Canis lupus familiaris: one gene and its partner. The protein of the gene in region 2 interacts with the protein of the main gene of each other region in a biochemical or structural test. Links are inferred from orthologs where the notes say so. Each region holds a gene or a part of one and is shown on either strand. Other genes may lie near its edges.

Evidence for each region. The genes of interacting proteins can lie anywhere in the genome.
Region 1: the proteins of RP2 (region 2) and ARL3 form a complex in vitro, tested with the Homo sapiens proteins (2 studies listed by BioGRID). The link is inferred for Canis lupus familiaris from reciprocal best matches to the Homo sapiens genes RP2 and ARL3.

What each region holds. Positions count from the first base shown.
Region 1 is NC_049249.1:15,351,588-15,355,104, forward strand, and holds part of ARL3 (ADP-ribosylation factor-like protein 3), read right to left. Parts: intron 2,247-3,517; coding exon 2,196-2,246; intron 688-2,195; coding exon 502-687; intron 1-501. UniProt on the Homo sapiens protein: Small GTP-binding protein which cycles between an inactive GDP-bound and an active GTP-bound form, and the rate of cycling is regulated by guanine nucleotide exchange factors (GEF) and GTPase-activating proteins (GAP).
Region 2 is NC_049260.1:40,692,504-40,696,020, reverse strand, and holds part of RP2 (protein XRP2), read right to left. Parts: intron 1,888-3,517; coding exon 1,222-1,887; intron 1-1,221. UniProt on the Homo sapiens protein: Acts as a GTPase-activating protein (GAP) involved in trafficking between the Golgi and the ciliary membrane.

The DNA.
Region 1 (3,517 bases), on a different chromosome or scaffold from region 2:
CTCCCTGTGGGAAACCAACCTGAAGTAGCAGGAGAGACACCAGCCCTGAGGGCAGTGGAGTTAGCCAAGAGAAAAATCAAAACCCTTCTAGGGTAACTGGTATGCATGATTGTTGATGGCTGTTACCTTGGGAGCACAAGCATTTAGCATCCATAATATTAGACACAACACAAAACCCCCAACCCAATGATCAAAGAATCCTAGTTAGAAAGCATCTTCGAAGATCTTCTGTTCTGACCTCCTACCCAATGGGGTAGTTTGTCCCTCAAGTGGGGTGGTTTATCTATGGCTTTCCTGCAACAGTTAATGATTATCAGATTGGTTGCTAAGTAAAAAAGAACCGAACTCCTCCATGCCCTTCACATCCTGGAGTGGTTCATCTGCCAATCAAAGGCTATTTGTTTTATATCTTCTTTCTATCTAGCTCAGTTCAACCAATAAGACAGACTACGTTGGTTGGGCACCATGTTGCCAGGTAACCGAGCCTTCTGGTAATCTCACCTGAACGCCCTCTCCTGTGAGAGCTGAGCAGGACTGGATCTGCCAGACACGGTCGCGGATGGTGTGCAGGTTCAGTCCTTCTGCAATTTCAGAGGCAGGGGCTGCCGTGAGCAAATCCTGCTTGTTAGCAAAGATGAGCACTGGCACACAACTTAGTTTTTCTTCCTCCAGTAATTCAGCTAGTTCCTGGATCATTTTGGGAATGGATGGGAAGGGAAGGATGAAATCTATGATATTTAACCATGTACTTTTAATTAGAAAAACAAAAAACAAAAAACAGAAGTGTTAAGTTAATCAACTAACAACTTCCAAGGGCAATGGTTCTCAAACTTGAGCCTATGGAAGAATTTCCCGGCAGATTCCTGGGCCCATCCCAGAGATGCTGACTTTGGAAAGTCTGAGATAGGACCTAAGAATCTGCATTTCCACAGGTGGCTCTGCTATGGATTCAGAGATCATTGAGAAACACTGGTCAAAGGAGAAAACAAGTTGTAGATAGATATTTAAAATTTAGGATTGCTATCTACAAATGACTTTCAATGCACACACACATTTTTAAACTAGAAATGACAATGACTTTAGAGTTTATAATTCTGCTTCATTAATCTTACTTTCAAAGCAAGAATGCATGTGCACTGCACTTCATCAAACTCACATCCTAGAATAATTATCTTAGTCCACCTGGCAGTATGTCTGATATTTTGGTTATTGGTTGGGGTCTTAATTGTATGTTGATTCTGTCTGCAATAAGCATAGGAGATGGTGTGTATTTACCTGAAAGGACCTACCTCTTCCCTATTAAACTCTCATTTTAGCTACTTAGGACACTTGGGCTGTCAAAGGGAATTGGATAGTTCAAGAGACAGATCATTTTATAACTTTTTTACCTCTAAGGTCATGTTTAGCATTGATTCACATGAGTGATGATATAGAAATCATCAAGGTATGGAAAAGAGTTCCCAAACTAATTTTTAGGAAAAAGGAACATAAACACGGGGAATGCTACTTTTGGAAGGCCACCTGTGATAGTTTAGGATATAGGCCAAGGACTCTGCACACTTTCCTAAAGAGGTCATTCTACTCTTTGCTTCTTATCAGTATACTCCATCTGGGTAAAATGGTCTATGCCCACTGCTTCTCTATTTAAAATTGTGTACACAAATCTCACCATGTAATCATGTTGACATGTACTTTGCATTTTAAGGCACATTTGGGTTCAAAGTATATCTACCTCTTGATTGGAAACAAGAGGAGCTTAGTCTTGGCTTACATATTTCTTCCCATCCCTTCACAAATTTGTCAGAGGTACCCTTGGATCAATTAAGCTGGTATTGAAAAATGTACGTAGAAATGACAAGTGAATTGTTCCTCTGGGTTCATTTCTAAGTGGCCTGGGAATAACCCTGAAGAGCTTTTGGGCATGGGGGTAAGTTCCATTTATTTCTATTGTATTTATTTAATTTGACTAAAACTAAAAGGCTATCATTAAAAAATAGTTTAAGGGACTTTCAACTAATTTCCTTTCACGCAACTTTTTTTTGGTAACTGGTATTTTTGCTTGCTTGCCAGAATGACTGCGTTGTTTAAACTGCAAAGGTTAAACAAAAAATACCTCCCTCGCTCTCATACGTTTACAAGGTAGATTAATGAATACCTAGTTATTTGGAAAATATCTCAACAGAAGAATTATTTACCTGACCCGTCTCTTCAAATCTTTTTCTGTCTGCACTGTCAATGACATATATCTGTGAAGTAAAAGAAGGTTACTTCAATAAGCAGAAATGGAAAAAGACAGGGTACCTTCTGGAGAAGGAGCAGAGGATCCTCAGTCAGATTTCTCATTACCACAGCAAACGGAAACTGGCTGAAAAGTCTTACCTCATCTATGGATGCCAAATAAACTAATTAATTAATTAACTGATTGATTAAATACGGATACCCAGAAAATATGCCAAACAAAGCTTCAAAGTAGATGTCAGGAGAGCCAAGCAGGATAAAAATAGGTACATTTATTATACATTCACTAAAAATTCTTGTTTAGATTTACCCTATCAATCCTTGTTACAATTCTATGAGATAGATTTCATTATCTTCCCATTTTATATGTAGATAAACAAAAGCCTAAAGAAGTTAAGTATTATGCCCAAGTCCTTTTTTTTTTAAAGATTTATTTATTTATTTATTTATTTATTTATTTATTTATTTATTTATTTATTCATTCATGAGAGACCCACATAGAGAGAGAGAAGCAGAGACACAGGCAGAAGGAGAAGCAGGCTTCATGCAGGGAGCCCTATGCAGGACTGGGTCTCCAGGATCACGCCCCGGGCCAAAGGTGGCACTAAACTGCTGAGCCACCCAGGCTGCCCAATGCCCAAGTTCTAACAAGACTGGAATTTAAACTCAGGCCCACCTGACAGTAAAGTCCACATTGTCAGGAAGGGATAGTTTTTTGAGGCATTTACAAATACCACAGTCCTGGAACATCATGGCTCTGAAAGTACATTCTGCAGTCTTAACTATACACTGATTTCAGGTGCCAAGGGAGGAGACCCACTGATCTCCATTTCATTCCCACCTTCTCAGGCTTGCTGAGAGGTTAAGATCAAGTATTGGGAATAGAAAGGGCATAGGCTTTGCCAGACCTAAGAGAAGTCTTAAGAGTCACCGTAAATTATAAATCTCAAGCTTTATCTCCCATCACTGAATTTTATTAATTGCGTAAATAACAATAAGGGAAATGAAAGAAGACCAAAAGAGAAAAATTATCTATAGTTATAGAACCCAAATACATTTATTATTTTAATTTCTTGTGAAAGTTCCCTTCTAGTTTTTCTTCATAATTAAAAAAGAAAATTATAGATATAATTTTGTTGGCCTTTTAAAAATATTATTTATTGGGATCCCTGGGTGGCGCAGCGGTTTGGTGCCTGCCTTTGGCCCAGGGCGCGATCCTGGTAGACCCGGGATCGAATCCCACGTCGGGCTCCCAGTGTATGGAGCCTGCTTCTCCCTC
Region 2 (3,517 bases):
CTACAGAGAGAAGGTCATTTAGTTTTTTCCCCCTCCATAATCTTCAACAGAACTGTTACAATTTTGAAAAAATCCATTAAAAAAAGGAGACTTGATGAATTCCCCATTCACTTCTTCATTTTTGGAACTTTGATTTTTAAATTTGAGGACTCCTTCTGAGGAACATCTGACTAACGGGGTAATCAATACATGCCACTGCTACCTCCCCACTGGAGCACACCCACCAACACTAGGAACTGCTGCTTCTGCAGCCCCTAATCTCTACATCCCCAGGTTATTTTTCAAGTGAAAGCTGCTACCAATAGAAGAACTCTTTTCCCAAACTCACTGAGTCCCTGCTCCTGAGCCCACAACCTTTCCTAACCCAGCTCCCACCTCCTTCTTACACACCAACCTCCCCTTTGCATAGCAACAGGGCAAAGAAAAAATATCAAGGTGGTTCTCATAGTCACCCCAGTGGCCAAAAGTTGTTCTCCTAAATGTCTTTCTTACTCCCCCCTCCAACCAATTAAAACCCAAATAAATATTCCCAACTAAATAAGATTGTGCTTTAGTATGCAGTACTACCTTTGTAAACTTCCATGGAAATCATTTATTATAAAGAATGGAAATTATCTGAGGGTAGAGAATTTTGCTTATGTGTCTCCATCTCCAGCATATACTCTAGTTGATCAGTTTTAAGTTGCCATCAATTGTAAGATGCATTTTGTTTTTTAATTTTTTTTTTATTTTTTTTATTTATGATAGTCACAGAGAGAGAGAGAGAGGCAGAGACACAGGCAGAGGGAGAAGCAGGCTCCATGTACCGGGAGCCTGATGTGGGATTCGATCCCGGGTCTCCAGGATCGCGCCCTGGGCCAAAGGCAGGCGCCAAACCGCTGCGCCACCCAGGGATCCCGTAAGATGCATTTTGGATAAGCAAAAATGTGGAGAACAAATGTACATTCTATAATCAATGAAATAGGGTAATAGAAATAACTCTTCACATAGTAAATGTTTAATAAATGCTTACTGAATTGAATGATATTTTTTAAAGTTTCTTTGAAAAGTCTTTTGAGGCCTAAGCAATCAGCTTATAGATAAATCTGCAGGGGGCAGAGGACTATAACTTAAGGATTGCCTGCATTTCTAATAGCCAGTTTGAAAAGAATGGAAGTTCTCCAGGAAGTGTGGTGTGTTTCTACCTAGGTATGTGTCTGTTTTTCCTCTCTCTCTCCTTACCTCATCAATTAGTTTTCTGGCATTTGCGATAGTATAATCACCAGCAAATAATACCACTAAGCATGATTCATCACTGCTCTTCTGTCTCTGACCCCGAGATACTGGAACGATACTTCTATTGGCTTCTGTGGAAACGCGGACAGCTTTGAGCTCTTCAGTGGTAGGTAGGGGAACATGGTCTTGAACTACAGTATCTTCTGGAAGAAGACTCCAGTTGAGTTCTCCTGACACAGGTGTAAAGTCATGAATGTTGCTCCAAGTATTATTGAAGATACTTAATGCCGCATCTTTGAACTGGAATGCTAATTCAGGGTAGTACCATTGGAAACAGCCAAACTTGATGTTTGTGGAAGACTCAATAATGGGTTGAGTGGCACAGCACAAAAAGACTTCCAGCTTTCTACAGTCCCTCACACGAAACTGTTGGCAGGCTAATGTGCACTTGCAATCTCTGCAATTCCGGAAAAACACACTGCCTTTCACAGGTCCCAGGAAAATTACACAGTTAGTACAGTCGTCGATAGTGATGGTAGCAGAGTGATCAAAAATGTAGATGTTACAGTTCTCACAGTCCTGAATGAGAAACTGTTGTCCTGCCACTTGGCCAGGTAGGCGACCCACTGTTTCATCCTTCAGTCCACTGAACATATAGTCTTTTGGATCAACCTGCAAGGACAAAATATGGGTCTTGAGTATTACTAACATTATTCAACAAATATTAGTCAAGTGTCTACTAGGTGCCAGGCACAACTTCTGGTGCTAAAATAAGTTCCTACTTTCACCGACTTTGCAACATATTAAGAAAATGAACAGCACAAATTATTTTTTCCAATATTAAAAGGCATGAGGGGAACAAAGGGAGAGGAGACTGTTATAAAGAGACTCAGGACATACCAACCAAACAATGGATATTGTTTGGATCCTGTTTCAACATATCAACTATAGAGACTTTTTTGAAATGACTGAGGAAATTCTCACACACACAGCATTTTGGATGATACTGAGGAATATTTCAGCTCTGACCCTTTTTCTTTTTCTGATGCTTCACTTTTTGATTTTTTTTATTCAAGTATAATTAAAAGACAGTGTTATTAGTTTCAGGTGTACAATACAGTGATTCAACAATCCCATGCATCACCTGGTGCTCATCACAAGTGCACTCTTCAATCCCCATCACCTATTTCACCCCCCTCAACCACTTCCCCTTTGGTAACCTCCAGTTTATTCTCTATATTTAAGAGTCTGGTCTTTTGCCTGTCTTTTTTGTTTGTTCATTTGTGTTGTTTCTTATATTCCATGAGTGAAGATTTAAAACAACTGCTTCTTAAAAAACTTCTGAAATTGGAAATACACTCCCATTGAAATATATTTCTCTATTTTTCAATAAACTGACACATAGGTCTTAGTTTCTAAACTCTGACTGATTTCTGTAATATGCTACAGAAAATGGAAGAACCTGAAGGTACAAAAATCACTATATGGCATAACTTCCATCTGCAAGTTAGATTCAAATATTTATTGAGTCTTTCCTACAATGGAAATTCTTGAAACGCCACCATTCCTATCTTTTGATATTCTAAACTAAAGCACACACAACCTTTTATTCAGTATGCCTGGAATTTGTCACAGTATATATTTAAAAATTCTACTGACCTCTAAGAGTCACAAAAGGCCATTTTGATTTTTCTAAATTACTTTTGAGTCCACTTGCACTGTTTTACCTCTTTGCAAATATTAAATTTCATGCAAAACTATCGATGTAACCAGAAACAGACTCCCATACAGTAGGTAAAATTTTGATGATTCACAAAGGATAATTTAATCATCTCAATCATTACCAAGCTAAAAGTGACTTATTCAGTATTGCACAGTAAGTGTTGTTCTTATCTACTTTTACATAATGTACTAGAAGGAGTACTGATCTGTAACACGAGGCAATAAAAGAGGCACTTTGTTTCCCAATCTTAATTTTGTCATCTATGAGCAACATGATCTTGGAAAAGGCACTTTAACTTTCCAGCTCATCAGTCATTCAACCAAAATTTGAACACTCAATATGAGCCAGGTATCCTTTTAGGCACTAACATGAGTATGACCAGCTCTTCCTATAAAAAAGTAAACACTAACCTAAACAGATGATTTAAAAACAACTTGGTTGTGCAATGCAAGATGCCTAGAATATTCTGGAAACACAGATGAGGGACATCTGGGATAGGGGAGGTAGGGGTGTAAGACTTCATTAACAAAAAAACAAAAAACAAAAAAAAATAACAAAAACACACACACACACACAAAA